Caenorhabditis elegans: one gene and its partners. The protein of the gene in region 1 purifies or fractionates together with the protein of each later gene. This does not show direct contact. Each region holds a gene or a part of one and is shown on either strand. Other genes may lie near its edges.

What was found.
Region 2: the proteins of tpxl-1 (region 1) and rsa-2 purify together in Caenorhabditis elegans (affinity purification with western blotting, with the first as the bait; one study listed by BioGRID). This does not show direct contact.
Region 3: the proteins of tpxl-1 (region 1) and rsa-1 purify together in Caenorhabditis elegans (affinity purification with western blotting, with the first as the bait; one study listed by BioGRID). This does not show direct contact.

Annotation. Positions count from the first base shown.
Region 1 is NC_003279.8:2,297,581-2,306,315, forward strand, and holds the start of tpxl-1 (TPX2 domain-containing protein), read right to left. Parts: upstream 6,814-8,735; 5' UTR 6,813-6,813; coding exon 6,668-6,812; intron 6,620-6,667; coding exon 5,580-6,619; intron 5,534-5,579; coding exon 5,447-5,533; intron 5,395-5,446; coding exon 5,246-5,394; coding exon of another isoform or gene 5,218-5,245; exon of another isoform or gene 5,054-5,217; coding exon of another isoform or gene 3,140-5,053; intron 2,987-3,139; coding exon of another isoform or gene 2,885-2,986; intron 2,590-2,884; coding exon of another isoform or gene 2,533-2,589; exon of another isoform or gene 2,506-2,532; intron 340-2,505; coding exon 237-339; 3' UTR 1-236. Other genes in the region: epg-2 (Ectopic P granules protein 2), read left to right, coding at 2,533-2,589, 2,885-2,986, 3,140-5,053; icp-1 (Inner centromere protein ARK-binding domain-containing protein), read right to left, coding at 7,136-7,264, 7,319-7,999, 8,051-8,735.
Region 2 is NC_003281.10:11,060,929-11,069,519, reverse strand, and holds rsa-2 (Regulator of spindle assembly protein 2), read right to left. Parts: upstream 6,042-8,591; 5' UTR 5,965-6,041; coding exon 5,846-5,964; intron 5,792-5,845; coding exon 5,742-5,791; intron 5,648-5,741; coding exon 5,399-5,647; intron 5,348-5,398; coding exon 4,968-5,347; intron 4,432-4,967; coding exon 4,229-4,431; intron 4,145-4,228; coding exon 3,916-4,144; intron 3,752-3,915; coding exon 2,693-3,751; intron 2,683-2,692; exon of another isoform or gene 2,595-2,682; intron 2,494-2,594; exon of another isoform or gene 2,422-2,493; intron 2,367-2,421; coding exon 1,899-2,366; intron 964-1,898; coding exon 868-963; 3' UTR 761-867; downstream 1-760. Other genes in the region: W09D6.1 (AMP-dependent synthetase/ligase domain-containing protein), read right to left, coding at 93-238, 320-422, 469-662; spat-2 (Protein lilliputian), read right to left, coding at 7,679-7,710, 8,552-8,591. UniProt on the Caenorhabditis elegans protein: Recruits rsa-1 and, thereby, phosphatase let-92/paa-1 complex to the centrosomes. Recruits sys-1/beta-catenin to mitotic centrosomes during the first embryonic cell divisions.
Region 3 is NC_003279.8:10,183,441-10,188,310, forward strand, and holds rsa-1 (Serine/threonine-protein phosphatase 2A regulatory subunit rsa-1), read left to right. Parts: upstream 1-2,415; 5' UTR 2,416-2,437; coding exon 2,438-2,537; intron 2,538-2,586; coding exon 2,587-2,756; intron 2,757-2,803; coding exon 2,804-2,915; intron 2,916-2,962; coding exon 2,963-3,051; intron 3,052-3,102; coding exon 3,103-3,329; intron 3,330-3,376; coding exon 3,377-3,478; intron 3,479-3,521; coding exon 3,522-3,639; intron 3,640-3,693; coding exon 3,694-3,777; intron 3,778-3,819; coding exon 3,820-4,032; 3' UTR 4,033-4,110; downstream 4,111-4,870. Other genes in the region: iars-2 (isoleucine--tRNA ligase), read left to right, coding at 1-208, 259-492; clec-87 (C-type lectin domain-containing protein 87), read right to left, coding at 1,206-1,389, 1,439-1,805, 1,856-2,006; Nucleolar protein dao-5, read right to left, coding at 4,332-4,490, 4,539-4,870. UniProt on the Caenorhabditis elegans protein: Regulatory subunit of phosphatase let-92 which recruits let-92/paa-1 complex to the centrosomes, thereby regulating microtubule outgrowth from centrosomes and mitotic spindle assembly ensuring the stability of kinetochore microtubules.

The DNA of each region.
Region 1 (8,735 bases):
TTAGTCAGAAATAATGAACACTAGTAGATCAGTGCGCGCGCGCGAAAAGGTGAACGGGAAAAGATAGCTCAACAAAAACTATGGATATGAAGAAGAGAAAAAATACGGTATAAGGGGGTGGGATGAGACAAAAAAATCAATGAGAATCATCATAAATATTTTTTTTAAAATTAATTTTCGCGGTGAAGATGAAGCTGGTCCCATTGGAATACGACAACGATCATATGTACATTCGTTTACTGCTTCGATTGTGGAGTAGAAGCTGCTGCTGGTGGCTTCTGAGTCGAACGATCCTTTGATGGAGCACGAATTCCGTGAAGACCTCCGGCAGATGGCATTCTGGAAAATTTTTAATTAGTAATTAGTAAATTTGAAAAAAGAATTGTTTAGAATATTTTGGTATTTTTTTTCCAAATTTTTTACAATTAGCATTGCCAATCTTAAAAGTTCAAAAATGTATGCTTTTTATTCGAAATTATTTTTTGTACCAGATCAGGGGTGGGTGGCAATTGGTTTGTCGTCAAATTAGGCAATTTGCCGGTTTGTCGAAAAAATCTTTTCACAACTCTAGGTTTTCATGTAGGCACAAAATGCCTACTAGGTGCCAATCGAATGCCAATCGAAAAATTGCCGGAATGAAAATTTCTGGAAAATCGGCACATTGCCGTCATATCGACAACTTGCCGAAAACGAAAATTTTCGGGAAATCGGCGAACCGGAAATTTGTCGGAATTGTGTTTTCGTTTTCGATTTTCAGAAAAATAGCATTTTTTGCAAAAATGGCTCAAGTTTTAGCCATTTTTTTTTAGAAAAGATGTTGTTTTCTGATATTTTTCTTCCGTCATTAGTAACAAAACTTGATGAAAAATTGAATTTTATCATTACATCTCTATAGATTTTTAAAAAACTTTCTATGAAAAAAATCGAAGAATCTTATCTACTCCAGCCAGTCATTTTAGACTATATTTTTATCATTTTAAGACAACAAAAATAATTTTACAATTCTAGGTTTTCATGTAGTCAGATAAATGTTTCATCGCCTATCGATAGGCATCTTCGAGGCATATTATGCCTGCCTTGTAGGCACCTAATTTTGCCCTACAAAACTACTGATTACATTCCTTATTAGCTCGAAATCCTATAACTTTTCCTAACTTCCCACTTTTAAGGGTGGTGTAGTCGAATTTTTTTTATTGCTTTATCAGGCTCATAATTGTCTGAAAACACCGAATTTCATAATGAAACTTCTTGAAAACTTTTCAGAAAAAAGTTATGACGGCTCAAAAAATGGCCTAAAATTAGTTAAAATCGGAAATTTGACCAACTTATCAATGTCGCAGCAGCTGGAAACAATTTTTTTTTGAAATCACCGCCAAATTTTGAGTATACAAGTTAATTATCTTACGTTTTAAACTTGATTAAGGTATTAAAAAATCTTTGATTTTTAATTTTTTTAACCAAAACTCGCCGTCCATCGATTTTTAAATACTCGTTTAAAACGCGAGGTAATCGACTTGTATACTCAAAATTTGGCGGTAATATCAAAAAAAATTATTTCCAGCCACTGCGACATTGACAAGTCGGTCAAATTTCCGATTTTAACTAATTTTAGGCCATTTTTAGAGCCGTCATAACTTTTTTCTGAAAAGTTTTCAAGAAGTTTCATTGTGAAACTCGGTGTTTTGAGAGAATATCGAGTCTAATAAGACAATAAAAAAATTCGACTACACCACCTTTAAAATTTGAATTTCTGTAATGTAATGCTCTAAATCTTCCAGATTGTCATATATATCCATTGTTTTCTCGACATCAAAGACCACCAAAAAGTCATTCAATACTATTTCCACTTCACCTGTTCACCCCTTCCCCAATCTTAACATCATCTTCTGACCCTTAACGTGACCCCGACTTTCCCAAATCTCCCTCTTCTGCTCACACAACGCTATTTCCAGAGAGCAAACACAGAGCAGCCCCGCCCTAGTGGCGCATCTAACCAAACGCGCAGTCCTCCACAACTATCCACATTGTAACCTTGGCCTGTACATTACATCAGTCGGACCATTCTCTCTCTCTCGCTTTTTACCGTGGCCCATCTCTCGGTGGCTAGACGCTGCCAATATGCAGAGAGCAAGAGAGCGCAGAGCATTATGCAGAGGCTGTCTCTTTTGCTCTCGTCGAGCTATCCAAACCGTTGCCATTTCTCCCTCTTTCACTCCCCGAGACCACCCATATCTCTCGTCTCTCTCTCTCTCTCTCTTTTTCACTCTCTTTCATATTATTCATTCCTCTCTTCTCGGGTTCTTCATTCAATTCTCAGTCATTAGCTACTACCACACAATGCCTAACAACTGAATTATATATTCTACCTGATCGCCGTTTTCCTCTCACAGCCTCGCAAGCTTTCTTTCTCCTTCTTCGAATATTTTTTATGGTGACCTTGTCATTCGTCTCACTATTAATTTTTGTGTGTGTAACACATCTCTCAATAATCGATATTTTTTGCAGATCTCAATTTCAACAGCTTTCAAAAGAATGAGTGCCAACAGAACTGTCACAGTTTTTTCATCGTCAGCAGAGGATCAAGAGCCGGTAAGTATTTGAGCTGTTCTAGATTCTGTTGAGACACAAAAAATCCATTTTCACACGTGGTGCCAGAGTCTGTCTCATCACGGTTTGATCTACAAAAAACGCGGGAATTTTTTGCACAAAAATATGTTCTTAACCATGCGAAATCAGTTGAGAACTCTGTGTCTCTTCTCCCGCATTTTTTTGTAGATTTATGTAGATCAAGCCGAAATGAGACACTCTGACACCACGTGTTTTCAATGAATTCTGGAGTTTTGAAAATAGTTGAATGTGCCATGAACAAGTGTTTATATTTTAGATCGAATTGGCTGAAGACTCACTTCAAAACTTGGACAAAATGCTGGCTGAGGAAAAAGAAGAACACCAGTTGTTGAAGGACGAAGTTGTGCTTCTCAGAAAGGTGAGCAACTTATTCAATTCACTATTTAGAGAATTGAGAAAATCAATTCAATTAATGAAATTAATTAACTTAATATAACTAATAATAGAATTAATGGAACTTAATTAATTAGTAAATTGCAATTTTTCAAGCTATAAACCTATTATTTTTCAGGAAAACGTGGAAGCCAAGACCTACTCCACATTATTGGAGATCATGCTTGACGAAGCCGAAGAAAAAGCATCGTCCGCTCAAGAAACGACCTCCGAAGAAAACAATCTCAAAATTTTGAACCGAGATCTTGTGGCCGAAAACTTGGAATTGAAAGAGATGAAAGAGGAGCTCAGAAAGATCTGGTTGAGCGACTCGAAAAAATTTCAAGAAGCTCTTACGCGGATCTCAGATGAGAATACAAAACTTCAAAAAGATTGTCACGAGTTGGAATCGATTCGGCAATGTGCCCAGTTTGCATTGGATAACTGTAACGAGGAGCTCGAGAAAACCCAAACGGAAAACGAAGAGCACGAGAGCCGCATTGAGACGCTGGAACGTGAAGTTTGTGAAAAAGATATTGCCATGAAAGATATTGTTGAGCGGAAAGACGAGATTTCGCTTCAACTGGAATTGCAGACAAAGGAGTTCACATCTGCATTGAATGATCTGATGTATGGAAGAGAAGACACCTTGAAGCAGATCCATCAAATGAAGGAAAACTGGAAGGTCAAGCAGAATGAATTTGAAGTTGAAATTACAAAGTTGAAGAGTCAAAATGACTACTTTGACTCTGAACGATTGCAATTGACTGACCGAATTAGAGCTTTGCTCAACGAGTTGTCCGATGTTCGCCTGGAACTTGGCTCTACTCGTTTGGCAATGAAGGAAAAAGCTGAAGTTACAGAAGCGGTGACCAGTTTCAACAAAGATCTTCGCGATAAGTTGGAAGATGAAATTGCAAGACTCGGTGAATGCTTACAGTTCAGAAAGGACGAACACGAACAGGATGAAGCAGTCATTGCTCATCTTGAAGAACAACTCAAACTTGGCAGTGATAAAGCTGCTGCGTTTTCCAGCGAGCACAGTGACACGATTGAGTTGCTCCGTGAGTCTGAAACCGAACTGATGGAGCTCAGAATGGAGAATTACGATCTGAAGGAGGACTTCAAAATTTTGAAGGAGGAGAAAGAAGATGTCAATCGCACATGTGAATGTCTCCGCGAACAATTGAGCACAACAATTCAGGAGCGGGACATCGAAAAAGGCCAGATGCAGAGTGAGATGGATGCAAAAATGGTTGCTGTGCATCAACAGTACGCCAAGCAAATTGATAATATGAAGTACAATCATATGTTGGCAATTAATCAGGAGTTGATCAAAGGACAAATGGCTCTGGAATCTGGGAAGAAGAAGCACGCCAATGAGATTTTGACGGTACGAAACGAACTAGAGCAATCCAATGCTGCTCATCAAAGCTTGAGAGACCAGTGCAGTTTGCTTTTGAGCTCCGAAGATGATCTCAGAACCGCACATTTGGCTTTAGAAAGCAAAATGACTCTCGTTTCTGAAGAATGTATTGCACTCAGAGTGTCTCGAGCTAATGCTCAGAAAGAAATTGGAAATTTGACTGAACATCACAAACTTGAAGTAGCACTCTTGGAAGATGCGAAATCCGGAATCCAACAACGTCTCCATTACGCCACTATTGAAATCGAGCAGCTAAAAAAGATCAATGAGGTTACTCAAGCCCAGTTTAAGAAGGAAACAGATGAGAAAAATGCCGAGATTAACGAATTCCAAGCTGCAATGGTATCAATGAAACAGCAATACAATGTTCTTGGCAATCATTGTCGCGTTCTGACATCTCAAGGAATCTCGGATCGTACCACAATTGACAAACTCCAGGAAACCATTCGCGAGCACACAGAACTTGCAATCGAAACGAAGAGAATTCACGATGCAGAGATTGTTCAGTTGAATGATGCTCATAAGAAGTTGGTGGATAATTTGGGAGTTGAAGAACTCGACGAGGAGCCGAAAGCATCAACGGAATCGGAAGAGAAGGCTGAATGGGAGATGGTCGACGAAGAATAACAATTTTGATTAATTTCTTGTTCGTTTTTGTTTCTAAATTGCACACTTTACTGTACATTGCAAATTGTTTTTGTCTTTCATGCCCGCCTAAATTGTTCTCAATTTGTTATTACAATTTTTTCTGTTTAAATAATCAATTTTTCCTTTTTTGAAGAATTTTGAGTTCAATAAATCCATCGTTTCTTCTCATACCCTTTGTAGGAGCTGTACACATATGATGGCACAGGGCGCACAGCAGATTTTCGGATACTCGACGCTGGGCCCTCGTGTGAAGTCCTCGTTGGCGTAGCAGTAACCTTTGGTGTGGCAAGTCTGTTGAAAAGGTCAGCACGGGAGGCTTTCTGTAAATTCAAAAAATATATATATAGAAAAAAAAACGTTGCACAAATGTACCCCTGGAGTGGAAGCCGAAATTGGAGGTTGGCCAGAACGGTCCACTGACCGAGCTCGAGTCGGCGGCTGGCGTTGTACGGATGAAGCCTGGAAATTCGATTTATTAAACAATTAGGCAAATTTTTTAAATTACCACTGGTGGTTTCTTGATCGTTGTGCTCGGAGTTCCCGGGTTGACTCGAAGCGGCTGCCGGTTACGAGCTGCTCCACCAGCTGGAACAGCAGGACGTGAAGCCGCTTTATTCTGTTGAGCATCAGCAGGAGCCGGAGCCGGAACAGTTGGCTTCACAACATTCATTCGAAGAATCGATGAGCGATTGGCTGTTGCAATCGGACGAATCTTCGGCGTCAATTTGCTCACCGACGTCGGCGCTGTTGCCTTGTTCGCCGATGCCGAACGCCGCGGTGGAGCAATTGGAGTGGTGTTTGCTGCAGCAGCAGCAGGCTTATTGGGGAAAACACTTCGACGAGAAGCCGTTGTATTGGTACGGCGTGTACGGTCACGGGATCTGTCACCTCCTGCAGTAGCAGCATCCGATTTTACTGCGGCAACCGGCGTTTTCTGAGCCACTTTGAGAGGCATAACACTTCGACGAACACTTGTTTTGGTGACATTTTCAGCGACACGAGCAGCCATCGCACGAGTAATGACACCTGGTCCGGTATTTGCAATTGGCGCGGAGATGGTGCGAGTGACAGAATTGTGAGGTGGACGTGGCACAGATGGTGCTCGTGGAGCTGCTGCAGCTGGCTCACGCGACATTGAACGTTTCGTGCTGATCGAGCGAGAACGAGTTCCGGACGCTGGAGCAATGACGGATGTCCTCTTATCTTCCTCTTCTTTCTTTCTCTGCTCTGAACGGCGACGCTGCGAAAGACGTTCCTCTGGAGCTTTTGGTGCAAACATTGACAATTTCTCAAGTCCCTCGATTAGCTGATTTTCTCCACCGCTTCCTGAAGCTGATGCGTCCTCGTTTGGCACGATTTTGAGTGGTTCTCTGATTGGTTGCTGCTGCTTCTCTTCTGTGTTGTCATTTTGACTTGCGTTGATTACAGTGGATTCCGATGAAGACGAAAGAAGATTATCGATAGTTGGAGATGGGAGATCATCATCGGATTCCCGCTTCGTCTTGGGAAGTTGCATTTTGACCGGCGTGTCGCATTCCAGGCTTGCTGGAAATTAAAACTTTATTATGAAAAATAATATTTGAATAGTCTTACGAAAGTGATTTTCGAAGTATGACGTCTCACACGGCTGGTCTCTGCTCGGCGAGCTCGATAATCTCGAATAGTCCTTGACTTTCGGTACAGCAAAGCTGCTGAAGAAATTCTCATCGAATTCCTGAATGGTTTGACTTTTGCTCATCCTATAAGAAAGAAATAAATGATAATTTGAATTCTAACTGATAGAAAAATAAATAAATAAATAAACTCGTGAATTCAGAACACGTTAATCAATGAGTGAACAATAAAATAAAAATCGGCTGAAGAATTATTATTTACAGCGAAAAAAAAATTTAATGTAAAGTTAGGGCCGATGGAGTTTTTGTATTCTCCGTTAAAAAGGGGGAAACATTGAAAATAAAAAATAACTCAATACGAAATATAAAAACATTTTACAATTTTTGAAAAAAGATTATGTCGCATGCTGGAGCGACTCCTGGCGATGTAAGCTGCTTCGGTACAACATCATTCCGAAATGTCTTGAAGAATTGTGCGAGACGACGTGTTTAACGTTGATGGACTCTTTTTCCACACTGCTGACGATCCGCGCTTCTTGACTTTGACAGCATCACTAAAGATTTCCTTTAGATTTGGCTGAAAATTTTTAAATTTTTACTGAAGGAGCTGCAAGAAAAAAAAAACAATTACCTTTCCAATCGATCCGAAGAATTGAGCCACGTCGAATGGTGGATTAATGGCATGTCTTCTGACATTCTCACGGACAACTGCGAATTCGGCCCAAGCCGGGACATCTTTGCGTGGATCATCTTCTTGATCTGTCTCGTCATCACTGTTAAGATCGTTCAAACCATAGTCATTCTTTGAGTTGTTTTGATAGGTACGTGGCGGAGTCATTTCGTAGGCTGCAGGTGGTGGCGTTTTTCGAAGAGCTTCCTGACGAGCTTGTTTCTCCGCGCATCTTGCGAGTGTTGCCTGGAGCTCTGCCTCTTCTCGCTCTCTTTGCTTCTCCAGCTGAGCTTGCTCTTCTCTCTGAACGGCCAGAAAATGCTCCTGCTCTTCTCGAGCTCTGAGTTGACGCTCCTTCTCCGCTTTCTCTTTCATTTCCTTCTGCTCCCGCTTTCGTCGTTCATCTTCTGCTAACTGTAGCAGATACTGCTCCTGTTCCAGCTGAATACGTTGCTGTTCCTGAAGAGCGGCAAGTGCGGCAGCAGCTTCAACATTTGATGTAGAAGACGAAGCTGCGTGGGCCGATCGTTTCGTCGCTTTCGCCTTTGGTTTATGTTGACGCGCCGGTGGAGTTGAATCATCACAGCTCATCGGCTCCATTTTGACTTGCCGGCTACCGTTTCGTTGCAATTCTCGGGAAGGCTGAAATGAGTTAAATTATTATTAGGAAAATACAATCAAGTAAATACTCACCGATAGTTCAACGGTCGGCTGAGCCACAGGAGCAGTCTTCTGTCCATCTGAGCCAATTAGAATCTCAACTTTTCCCTTCTTAGCAGGGCCTCGACCAGGAGTGGATGTGCTTTCCGCCGTTGGGAAGATTTTTCTACTTGCAGCCTTGTTTGGAGCATGGTCTTGCATCAAACGAGCTCTTGTTGGCGACTTTGCACTGTTGTGAAGTTTCGCCAAATTAGCATTACGCTCTTCCTTTTGCTTCAACTGGTCGAGCTTTTCCTGACGAACTCTTTCCTGCTCTTTTCTGCGCTCCATGACAGCATTCCGCTTCTCCTCGTCCTTCCGTGCTTTCTCCCTTTTCTTCTCGAGCTCTTTCATCCGGAGCTCATCAGCATGCTTCATCCTTGCATTCGGATCTTTTTCTGCATCATTGAACGGAATCACACGATGGGGCGTCCTTGGAACCACAGCTGCACGGCCGGGAGTTCCTGCCATACGTCCAGGTGTTGACGAGAAAATGTTGCGCGGAGTAGCTTGATTGTGAGCCTCACGCGGTGGATTTCTGCGAGGAGTGCCACTGTACGCTGCATTTCGTGAGATGCTTCCTTCGGTCTTCTTTTTGGATATGCTCATTTGCTGCATGCGCTTCAACGTGACTGGCAATATGTCCTCTTCGAAATCACCATCAGTCGCTACTGAGCCG
Region 2 (8,591 bases), on another chromosome or scaffold:
ATTATAAAATTAACGAAAAATCAATTATTGTTTTATCGATTTTTTTGGAATAAAAATCGATAATCGCTATCGATTTTCGGAGAGTTCCTCACCAAAAATGCTCAATATTCTTGCGAATACAGTCAACTGGAACTGCCACTTGTTTTTTAGCTCCAGTAGTCCCGCTAGTTTGAATTACGTAGCAAATGCTCTCCGCCGCTAAAAGTCCGTTCTCATCGTTTTGAGCGATCCTAGATACCTGAAATGTCAGATTATTGAATTTTTTGAGGATTTATTGATTTTTGTTAAATTATCGATTTTTTCACCACGTAGCACTAACATGTTTTCCGTTGAAAACCAGCGTCGTTCGAAACTTCCGCACCACGTCATCAGTATCGCTCGCCGGCGGGCAAAATGTGAACACAAGCTCAAGTCGGAGGCATCTGAAAAATCGATTTTTTCTGGCTGAGTGGGCGGATTGCCACCTACGCAATAACGGCAACAATCGCGTCGAGACCTCTTTCAATCGATATGAAAACCACGTCGGAGCCGGTGATCGCGCGGCAATTTGAATTCCTGAGAATTTCCGTGAAATTATCGATTTTCTCGAAAATATCCTCCGCCGGAATTGTCGCGTTGCAACCCACATCGATAATTTTCAAATTCCGATTGATTTCCGTCATTTTCTGTGAATGTTTTTTTTTGGGAATTTTTCGGCATATCGATTTTTCCAGTATATGTTCAGCGCTTTTTCGCCTTAAAAGTGTGTGTGAAAATAAAAATCAATAAATAAAATAGTTCATAAAATAGCTAGTAGAATAGTAGAGACCATGAATGATATTGCCGATAATAGTGATAAATAGGCGAAAAAAGTATTTAATTAAAAGCCTAAACATCGGTGACCGTCGCGTCGATTTCAGATTCCAGCACCATTTGTCCCAGCTTCTCCTTTTCCGTCGCATATACCTCGTTGGCTTCGTTGATCTGAGAGAAAAATGGTTGAAACTAACGAAAAATCGATTTTTGATTAAAAAAAAATTAGGCAACTTTTTTAAAGGGAGTGCACCCAGTGGGGAAATTGCTTTAGAACATGCCCATGGGGTCACAATGACCAAATATCATGATAAAAAAATTCGAAAAAATTTTCTAGATTTTATATGACTTTTTGAAAATTGGAAAAATCTCAGTTTTCCCCTAATTCCTTTTTAAATTTCCGCCAATTGGATTCGTTCGGTGGAGCACACTTGCATTATTTTTATTAATTTATTTTATTTTTCTCATTAATTCACTGATTTTCTTCATTTTTTGTGTATTTTTATCGGAAAGACAAAGAAAAATGCAAGATAATTGCAAATTGCTCATTAAAAAATCACTGAAAATGCGTAAAACTGTGAAACATGCTAATTTCAGGCTTGTTGTCGTCAGAACTCATAGTTTTAAAGCTTTACCCGTTTTCAGTGATTTTTTAAACAAACAATTTGCATTTATCTTTATCTTTCCGATAAAAATACACCAAAAATGAAGAAAATCAGTGAAATAATGAGAAAAAAATAAAATAAATTAATAAAAATAATGCAAGTGCGCTCCACCGAATGAATCCAATTGGCGGAAATTCAAAAAGGAATTAGGCAAAAACGGAGATTTTTTCAATTTTCAAAAAATCATATAAAATCTAGAAATTTTTTTTGAATTTTTTATCATGATATTCCGTCATTGTGGTACCATAGGCATGCTTTAAAGCAATTTCCCCACTGGGAGCACTCCACCTTGAAACAAAAAAGCTATATTTTCTTTAAAAAAATTGAATTTTCCCGCCAAAATTTTTCACCGAAATTTTGAATTTTCGTCGCTTTTTTTTCCGATTTTTGTATAGATTTTGTGAGATTTTGTGAGATTTTTCACATTTTCACGTTCCGTACCAAATTCTTATTCGCATAACGTGCGGCGATAACTGTCATCTGCACTTGTTGCCATTGATATTTTTGTTTTTCGGCGTCCGGTAGACCTCGGCGTACATCATATCGATAATCCAACTCCATTGGCATCATTCCTTCAAGTTTCTTGCTCATTTTCACATCGGTGCACCATTCCGATTTTCTCGATTCGGGTCCGTGCTCGGTTTGGAGCATTTTCAACGCCTCCGCTTCAAACGCGATTTCCTCATTTTCAGTCATTTTTCGGCCAAATTTCAGGTAGTTTTTATTGATTAAATCCACCACCGCACTCCAAATAAGTATGGAAAACGAGTCGAAATACTCGAAATTGTCGTCGAACTCCATTTGAACATCTTTAAATGAGGGTGGCTGCCAAACATCTTGCGCTGTAAGCCAGTCGACTCCGCGGAGCTCGTCCTGAAGCTCAATTGCCTTTTGAACCATTATTGGGCTCTGAAAAAGTGCGAAATTAAACATTTAGATGTAATAAGAGAAAACAAAAAAGAATGGGCCGAACCGGGGATTGAACCCGGGACCTCTCGCACCCAAAGCGAGAATCATACCACTAGACCATTCGGCCACGGTTTCCCAAGCTTCTTGGGTGTGTAGACATTTCTGTTGAACAAATTCCGCAGAAATTGACACATGGTGCATCATGTCTTTGCCTCCTGGGAAGCAAAGTTTCGCGGCCGAATGGTCTAGTGGTATGATTCTCGCTTTGGGTGCGAGAGGTCCCGGGTTCAATCCCCGGTTCGGCCCATTCTTTTTTACACACTTACAATCTCTTTCAAGAACTCTCGCTGACAATATTCCTCCATATCCATTCCAGCAAACGTCGTTTCATCGGCTTCCGCCGGCACTCTTGGTGTATCTGTCACTGCTGCCGACGCCGCCGCCGGCGGCAAATTGTCAAAAATCGATTTAAGCCGCGGTGCCGGCGAGTTGTCAAGCAAGAATCCCGAATCGTCAGCGCTATCATTATTGCCACGTGGCTCCAGCTCTTCCTCCAGGCTCTGTTCGAATTCATCGTGATTCACAAAGCGTTTCGTCTCGTCTTGCTCGTCCTCCGGATCTATGATTAGGCCCAGTTTTTCGGGCTCTTTGTGCTCCTCAATTTCATGCTCAAATTGTGTAGCATTCGGGTCCTCCGATCCACCGGATGAGTCTTCTCCGTTGTCTGAAGCGACTAGAGTTTCCGGGGATTTGGAATCAGAATGCTCGGAAACCACTTCCTCCAGATTCTCTGATTCTGTAGTGACTGATACCTCAGACACCACGGGAATCTCCAATTCCATGGATTCAGATTCAGATTCCTGAGCTTCCATCGATTCTCTCTCCTTCTTAACTTGCTCCAAATAGTGCGAAAGTCCTGCAGAAAGTCGCCGCGCCGATTCTGAATCCAGAGAAACTCGGCCACTACGTGGCGTCGTCTCTTCCACAGTGGACGGGAAGCTTATATCAGTCTTCAGACGGGAAAATGGCTCGGCGACAGTCTCCAGGCTCTCATTGTGCAGTGAAATGCTATTGAGCATACTATCAAACTCGGCAATCGTCGACACGGGCGCCGTCATCGAAAGTGTCACTGGTGGCCGCTGAGGTTCGGCGGAAACTTCGGCCAGCACCGGTTCAACCACAGGCGGTGTAGTCTGCGAGGACGAGTTGTGTTTCTCCAACAATTGTGAAAGATCCAACGGTTCAACACCAATTCTTCGGGGACTCGTCTGAGTCATTGCAGACTCGGCGAGCCGTGACGTCATTTGTGTCGATGCTTCTCTCATTGAAGGGGGCGGGGCTGCGTCCGACGATGATTGTTGGTTCAGTTGTGATGATGGATTGATCTACAAAAATCAGATTTTTTGAGATTTCTTGAAAAGATCCGCCTATTTTTATGAAATTAGCCAATAAAGGGGCGGGGTTTCATCCGCCTATTTTAAGCGATTTGAAATTCTCTTAAAATAGGCGGATTTTTAAAAGAAATTTGCCAAAAAACGGCTTAATTTACCTTAACAGCTATGCTCTTTCGACTCGTGTTAAGTGATCGATTGAGACTTTTGCTGTTTCTGTGCAACGTGGCGACATTTCGAAAATGGTCGATTGTGATCTTCATTTTTCGCGCCAATTCCAGCATTTCACGGGCGGTTTGAATGTCGAATTCGCGAAACGGCAACGCCATCCAGTTGTCGATGGAGCGCAAAAGCCGCTGATTGTACGGATCGCCGGAGAATGGTTGGCTGTAAACAAAAACCTTAAGAAGCCAAGATATGGGCGCGGAGCCTAAAGAGCAAAAAAATCAAATTTTTTCTTGGAATTTCTACCTTGAAACGAGTTGATGTATAGCCAATTGTGCTTGAGTAAGCTTATCAATTCGATCCTTTAATTCCTGAATGACCGCCCGTTTTTTTGCGTTCTGCGTCTCCACTTCTATGAGTTTCCGTACAGCCTCTGCTTCATTTCGTCGTTTTTTTGCCTCTTCAGCAATTATTGGTGATCTATTAGCGGCCGCGAGATTCTGTAAGAACTTTGGCGACGGTTATGTAGATCAAACATCCGATTTTACGCGCAAATTCAAATTTCAGCAAATTTTTGGTAGGAAATATTAATTTTTAATTGTAAGTGTGTGTTTTTATTTTATTTTTTTAGAATTTTAAAGTCTTTCGGTGTAAAAATTCAATTTTCTGTCGATCACATGCTGCAACTGCGCTCTGGTGCTAATTTATCATTGGAGCGCATTTACAGTAAGTTTCAGCTCAAAATTGACAGAAAAACGTGATTTCTGCTCAAAAATCTGGGAATTGAGTGAAAAATTAAAATTTCCCGCCGATCGCATGTTGCAACTGCGCTCCAATGTCAAATTCGCATCAGAGCGCACTTGCATTATGCGATCGGTGGGAAATGTGAATTTATACAGATGTTTTTTTCATTTTTTGACAATTTCGAGCGAAAAATATGGATTTTTAATTCAAAATTGGCGAAAAAAATCCAATTTTTCGGCGGAAACCCCCAGGAAAAATCGGGTTTTACTGATTTTTTCGAGAAATTTTCCAATTCCTGTACCTTGATGCTCTCCAGCTTTGTCATTTGACGTTCAACACCAACAACAACTCGATCCGAATACTGTAGCTGAATTTGATGCGTCGCGACGAGGGTATCAACATATGAGGTGCGACGAATCGGTGTTTCCGTGGTTTTTTTCACCAAAGGCGACTCAATACGTGGCACACGCGGCTTCAAAGTGTCAATCGGTGGCGGTTGGGATGAGCTACGTGTCACTTTGGCTCTGGGCTCCAGCTGCTCCGAGCTCTCCTGAATCGTCTGCTGACGGGCTTCATGGGGTGAGTGGCCGGAGATCATGAGCTCCTGCATTCTTGAAAAGTTTTCCTCCATTTTCCGGCTCAGACAAGACGTGTATTGCTCTGATAACGGGGTTCTTGGCACTGAAAATTATGAAAATTAGGTTTTTTTTTGAAAGAAATTCAAAAAATTACAATATCTTGGCGGTTTTGAAGACACCGGCGTCGCATCACTGCTACGTGGCTTTTGTGACTTTTTCGACGTGGATGGAGTGACAAATTCGTCATCGGCGGGCTCCGGTGTGAAGTATTGATCGCTGGACGGGGAGGCTTCTGGGGTTGCGGAGTTGCGGCGGCGGGCGATTCGTAGATCACGAGCTTTATCTTTAAGCCGACGATCTTCGTCGTAACGTTCGTAGTCTTCTCGTGTTGGTTGGGGGTTTGCTGGAAATTTAAAAAATTTTTTAAATTAACAAAAAAATTTCAAAAAAACCATTTTTCCTCATTTTTCCCCAATTTTTTCCCAAAGAAAACCTACCCATTGATACAAAAACCGGCTTCTCGCCTTCCTCCATGTTTTCCTTGTTTCTGAAACTCAGAAAATAAATAAATGGTTGCCATGGGGAATTTCCCCCTGCTTACCTTATTTTTTCGTGGTGATCGCGATATTTCGGCTCGAGGAGCACACTTTTCGCGGGTTTTTCGTCGTTTTTTGCGAGCCACGACTTGAAACTGCCCTTAAATACAGGAATTTTCGACATTACGCGGGGAAAATAGTGCGAAAAATTGATTTCGCGTTTGAATTAAAGAATATTTTCGCGGCGACGCCAGTGTGTGCAAACACCGTCACGCGAAAATGCAGACGGCGAGAGAGTGTGGGGAGACGAGGAGACGCAGGGTTTTCTTTGCTGTTTCTTTGTTGATTAATTGCAGATTTTACAGGATTCTCGGGTCAAAAATAGCGGAAAAGTGGGAAAAAAAACTTGAAAACCCTTAAAAATCAGTATAAAATTGATAAATTATTAAATATACAGCTTCTAAACAGTTTCAAGTCAAAAATCAGATTTTTCAAACTAAAAATGATTTTTACCATTTTTGAAACCAATTATTATTATTAATTACCCAAATTCGATAAAAACTCGCTCGAAAACCGAGATTCCTACATTTCGCAAAAATTTCAGTTCCGAAAAATGCGCGCGTCACGCTTGCAACCGGTAGGACATGCCCACTTTTCCGTGCGCGGTCTGCAATTTTTATCCGATTTCAAAATTTTCTGTAATTTCCAGACAAAGAAACGTCCACTTTTATTATTCCAAAGCGGAAAATCATATAAACGGGGGCTTTTTCTAAACAAACAGACAATTTGGGGGCGGTGGGGCGGAGTCAACACGAAAATTTTAAGTAAAGAAAAAATTGGGATTGAAAATAATAATAATATGAATATTGAAGTCGAAATGTGTGCAGGAAAGGGGCGGAGTATAATTTAACGGGGAAAAATTGTAGAAAACGGGGGGCGGAGAAAGGCAATGAAATGGGCGGTGCTTAAAAACGGGGGCGGGGCTTATGTGTGTGAGACATCACAAAGATATTTAAAAATCGGGAGAGATATGAAAATTGTGACTTAAACAGAGAACGGGGGACCCGATATATATATATTTCATTTTCAACATTTTGAAAATGAATTTGTTGAAATTTTGGGAAATTTTTGAAAAAAAATCACATTTTTTGAAATTTTCAGGAAAAAAAGTTGGAAAATTTTAATAATTTTAGCTTGAAATTTTATTAGAATTGTTTGAAAATTCAGATTTTTGCAGATTATTCCCAAATTTTGGTTGAAAAATGGCTAAAAACTCAAAAATAAAATCTACCAAATTTCAGAATTTCTTAGAAAATAGTGGATGATCGTATGAAAATTTGTGAATTTTGGCTAAAAACTCGAAATTTTTGATAATTTCAGCTGAAAATGAACTAAAAAAAAAAAATGTAAAATCCGCAAAAATCTCAATTTTCTAACAAATTTTGCCTGAAAATTCGATTAAAATCGCCAAATTTTAAATTAAAAATTTCCGGGGGAAAAGGGGGAATATTTCACAAAATTGGGGAATTCTTGGGGGCAAAAAAATGGAAGAAAAAAAACTCGCAACATTTCGAAGAGGAACACATGATAACAGGGAAATTATACCAGAATTACGTAAGGAGAAGAGAGATTTTTTGTTTTTTGGAGAGAGAGTTGTTGTGTGGGGGAAAGATTTTCAGAATTGGATGGAAGGGGTCAAATTTGAATATTTTTGAATGAGGGGAAAGCAATGGGACAAAAAAAAAAGGCAAAAGTGAAGGAAGAACTAAAAATATTTCAATTCATATATAAAAATGATTGAGCGGTGATGATGATTATGATTGGAGAGAGGAATTATAATTAATAACAAACAAAAAAACAAAATCAACGATAGAATTCTCGATTGATTCATTAGACGTTTATTTCTTCTTTGGGACGAATGTGATGGGCTCTGAAACAAATTGGATTATTTTTGGGGTTTTAAGAGAATTTTTCAAGTTTTTGGGATTTTTAGGACAAATTTCCAATTTTTTCTGGTTCTGGACTTTTTGAAGATAATTTTTCGGTTTTTTTGGCATTTTTAAGATAAATTTTCAATTTTTTTTTGGACTTTTTGAAGATTTTAAAAAGGTTTTTTGGCATTTTTAAGAGAAATTTTTCGGTTTTTTGGAATTTTTTAAGAGAACTTTTCAAGTTTTTTTGGGATTTTTAGGATAAATTTCCAATTTTTTTGCCATTTTTTGGAATTTTAAGAGAACTTTTCAATTTTTTTTCGAAATTCGCAGAGATATTAAGGAAAATTTAGTTATTTTTTAGCGATTTTGCTAGCGATCGAAAATTTCTCATTTTTTCAGGAAAAATTCAAAAAATTGCACAGCTTTTTGAAAAATTCCAATAATTTTTTTTTGAAGAAAACAGATAAAATTTGCATTTTTGTAGAATTCTGAATTTCCAAATAATTTTTTTATTGACTAACAATTTTAAAAACTCGAATTTGGGAAAAATTGCAATTTTCGGTCTCAAATTTAGGGTTTTTTTGTGAAAAATCGACAAAATTCATATAAAATTCGCGAAATTCCCATTTTTCCGAGTTTAAACATTTAAAATTTTATTTTCTTAATTTTTTAAAAAGAAATATATGTCAATTTTGTGCCATTTTATGTCAATTTTTAGTGTAAAATCGTCTAATTTTCGTTTTTTTTTTCGCAACTTTGAAGTTTAATTTGCCGATTTTCAAACAAAAAAAAATCATTAAATTTTCGCTTTTTTCCACTCCTTTCCGACACACTCACTGGCTCCAGTATTCATAAATTTTTCCCATTGAGGTTTCCA
Region 3 (4,870 bases), 7.9 Mb from region 1:
ATCTCCAATCCTTCCGCATTTATCATCAGAAGTCCTCCAGCACCTTCCCGGATCCCATGAAAAACAAATTCTTCGCTTGAAATTTGAAGATCTTCATTATGGACTTCTCACTCCACATGATCAGCTTTCAAAGCACATGAAATTCGTATACGAAGTTCGAAATCTTTTAGAGTCAACTGCTGGTCCAAAGATTGATACTTCTAAAAAAGTACGTTTTCTAGAAAAAAACAGTACCAGATCAATTGAATTTATTTACAGGGAATTGTTCTTCAAGTGACACCAGAATACCACACAATTCTTCGCATTTACGAATCAGAGCTGCCAGAATTGTTAAATGTTTCACAAGTGATACTGCATGAAAATCGGGATGAAAATTCTGTTGAGCTCGTGGAAAGCCGGTTGCGATATTGTGAGAGATGCCGGAAGCACACTCGGAATGAAAGTGATGCTCTATGCGGAAGATGCTCAGATGCGATGGGACTTTCTCGTTAAATTAGATGATTTTTGTAGAACATTGTAATTTGATTTATTTTAGGAAAGTAAATGTTTTAATTTAGAGGCGCCACGTTTTCAAGATCTGTTCAAAAACAAGATTTACGAAAACAAGATCCACCAAAACAAGATCTACATTTTCAAGATCTACCAAAACAAGATCTACGTTTTCAAGATCTGGCACCGTGCCAACTGTGGTTTTCTCGAAGAAAACCAAACAACGATGCTCCGATGTTACGCGTCGCGTGTTGTTTAGCGTTCAAACGAATATTTTTTGAAATTTTCTTCTAGAATTTACGCTTAGCAACACGCGACGCGTAGAGAAAACCGCAGTTGGCACGGTGCCAGATCCTGAAAACGTAGATCTTGTTTTGGCGGATCTTGTTTTCGTAGATCTTGTTTTTGAACAGATCTTGAAAACGTGGTGCCTCTTAATTTATGTTTGCACATCAATTTCCCGAAACACCAACTTCTAGCAAGAAAAACTTGACGTCATGCTCGACTTGCTTCAAGCAAAAGAGGTCCTCAGATAGAAAACAGGATTTGATGTTGAAAATTTATTTTCCGATATAAATACATAACGTCTCAAAATTTATAAAGTGAGTGCAATGATTGTCAAACGTAAGGGGGATGGAACCCGGTGACAAATAATAAACGATTAGTTGTGGATGATTGTTTACATGATTAGATTGGTGTCAGAAGTACAGAAGGCTTCACTGCAACGCGTTGACGATGGTCGAATTGCGTTCACAAATGGAGTACAGCATATACGTGCACGGGTAGAAGTACGTGTATGATGCCGATTCCAGGGATGATGGTGATTTGTAGCTGGCAGCACAATTGGCGAGTGATGACCAACCGTTGAAGAGTGGCTTGTATGGTTTGATGAGCCAGTTGCTGAAAAAATTAAATTTAGAAGCAATCAATTGTTGTTGACAAAACCTACATTTTGGTTGGATTGAGAGCTCCTTCAGTCTGCCATCTTGGCAACTGCTCCAACTTCTCGTAATGGGTGAATCTGACAAGTCCGATCCACGAAAAGAAGGCTTCCTTGGCTTGAACACGAATTGCGTCCCACTCTTCAATCGAATTGGCCACGAACAGTGTTGACTGCTTCTCGAAGCAATTTCTCTCGGCCTTGGCGAATCCAAGAAGCTCCTTCTCGATCCAGTAGCACGAATCGGCGAACCGAAGCCATCCATCGGGACACTTCTCAGTCTGATTGACGAAGGCTGGCGGCTGTCGAGCTGGGAACGAGATGTCTTCGAATGCCGTTGTGCCGAGATCCTTGTAGTCCCAGTTGTAGAACGTCACTGAAATTTGTTACTTTTAACGAAAATTTAAAGATTTCAAAGAAACTTACGTCGTTGATGCGGCTGTTCGTCGTTTTGAACCAATGGTGATGTTTCTGGAGCTTCACCACTAGCTTCAGGAAGCTCGGTTGAAGAAGTCGGAGCTGCATGAACGAGGAATAGCCCAGGAAGGATGAAAGCAACGAGAAGGCAAAAACGCATGATGAGCAGTGAAGACTGAGGAAATGAACGTTTCGTTCTCCTTTTATGCACATTTTTGCCGCCGTTTCCTGAAATTTTCACAAATGCGCGCCGCTAATAGACAGAGATCAAATAATAATTTCAAAACAAATCAAGTCTAGAAATATCCTAAACTTCATTTCTGAACTGGTGTTATGAATTTGAAGCACGGATGATGGTTTAAATGTTCTGTAGCACACTGCAGATTTTCATTTATGAAAATATTTAACTTTTAAAAGGGCAAGATCTTGTTTTAAAAAATTGTAATTAATTTTGAAAATTATATTTTGAATAGCCGCCCTTGATATTAACAAAATATGCAGTGGAGCGCACTTAATGCGCCCATTTTCAACAGAAAATAACGCTCGAGATTCGAATTCAATTCTCTCCTCCCTTGCAATTTTCGTGTCACTATGCCAACCGACGAACCTTCGAAGCGAAAATCCATTTTACCAACGATTCCAACATCCCTGATGTTGAAGAAAAGTAACGAAGCATTGAGTGACTTCGAACGTGAGTTGGGTTCAGCGAAAATGTATTATTCAGCGGTATTATCTTTCAGGAACATTTAATGATCGAGTTATGGATATATTTGCCGAAAATCGAAGAATAGATGTAGAGGAGTTTAAAAAAAATGCCGAATGCTTTTTAAACATCATTCGATCGAACAAAATCGATTTAAATTGGGGTGAAGGGGGAGAAAGTAGATATGTGACGATAACTCGATTAATGGTAAGGTTCTCGGTGAATTCAATAATTAAGAATGTGCAATTATTCAGAAAATACTCAAAACTTCACCACAATCAATCAAAGATCTACTTCCACATAACACAGTGTCGAATTTCGTTAAAATAACCAATTATAATTTAACAATTGATATCACTCTTTTAGGTTTGTGCAAAGCAGGGAGTTCTTATTATAAAGAATTTGAATTTCAGAGGAGCTTGTACGAACAGTCATTCACGCTGAGGAGTCCTACATCAAACTTCTTCCATTTTCAGAAAATAGCACAGAGATTTCCAGTTATGTAAGTATCTTATTTCTACTCTAAAAGCTATTATCCTGACACTATTTTCAGAGTCTCCAAGACTTTGTGGCCACACATTTTATTCCAATTATGATTGAAGAACCGGAAAATCCTGTCTATTATACAGCTTACGCAGTTGGAACAATATTTTTCCTATTGGGTGCTCGACGGCGAGACTGTGTATATTTGAAGGATTTACTTGCTTCAACACTTCTACTACAACTCGAAGAGTGTATTCATGCAGAGAATCATTGCTTATCACCTCCGAAAATTGATGTGTATGATTTATCAGTGCCATAAATTGCTTCAAAAAGTCTTTTTTCAGATTCACCGTCGCTCAATTTCGAACCACTTTATCAGAATTCCGATTCCTTGACTCCCAACGAAAGGGATTGTTGGCGCCAGCGGACTTGAAATTTTTCAGAGAGTATGAAGAAATTATTTTTCAGTCTATAAATCCTATTTTTCAGCGGAATCTTCAATGAGGTTTTCACCAAGCGAATCTTCGAAATTTCAATAACCTATGAAGATGGACGTATTGATTTCAAAGCGTTCGTTGATTTTGTCACCGCTCTAAAGTTCCGTCATGTAAGCGATTTTTTAATCAGAACCAAAAAATTGTTCTAAAAAATAAATTTCCAGACCACTGCCTCCGCCAAATACCATTTCGAAATTCTGGATCTAAAGGATGATGGACTGTTGGATGAGGAAGAAATTCGATCAATAGTGAGTAAAACTCTCCAAGAACACTTTCTCATCGCTTAAAAGTCATCATTTCAGCTTCAAAACCTGCCAGATTACGTCCCGGAAGATAATAGTGTGAACCCGGAAGTAGCAACTGCCGAACTGAGAGATATGATGCGTCTGAATCAGAATGGAATTACATTGGAAGAGTTTCTTGCTAATCGGATGAACTCGACGTTTGCTGGATTCCTCTCCAATTCCGATGATTACATGAAGTACGAACGACGCGAGCAATAGCAGTCCCGCTAATTTTATTTTTAAAACTATTCTAACCACTCATTTCGGCCTGCAAGGGTAATAAACAGCTTTTGGACCAAACATTTTATGGATGAGACAAGAGGGAGAAAAACGGAAACATAACAAGTTATATTTGAAGTAACAAAAGTATACAAAACATTTGTTTTGGATCAACTCAGGATTATAAATTTAAAGGGGAAACAAAAAGGAAAGCAACAGACAACAGATAAAAAACGAAGTGTAGACGGGGGTGAGAAACAATTTTGGAAACAAATTAACTTAAGGATAAAGTTAAGAAACTAATCGTCAGAGTCAGAGAACTTGATAGAATTAATAGATTGGTTGATTGGACCACCTCCGTAGCTTCCCTTCTTCTTCTTAGTTTTCTCATGACGGAATGCTTTTCCAACAACTTTTCCTAGGCTTTCATTGGCACGCTGTCCCCATTGATCGAAGTGCTGAAAATAAATCGAGTTAAACTTTGTTCGTAGTCGCTATATGTTTACCGAATCATGCTGGTTGTTTCTAAATTTTTCAGAAACGCTATCCTTTGTCATTTGCACGCGTCGGAATGGTGAAGACTTTCTTTTTCGGTTTTCATAGACCGCCTTTTCAGTCGAGGTAGCCAATGGTTTTGCCTTCAAAGCCGGTGTTCTTGAACTGCTCTCCTCGGTCTCGGCGGATTCTTCAGAGTCAGCACGTTGTGGTCTTGGAGTGACAGCCTTAGATGGTTTTGGAAGATCTTCGTCGTCATCAGAGGAATCAGAAGATTCAGCTTTCTTTAGTGCAGTCTTTGGAGTTGATTTTGCTGGTGTGGTGGCAGACTTCTTTTTCGTTT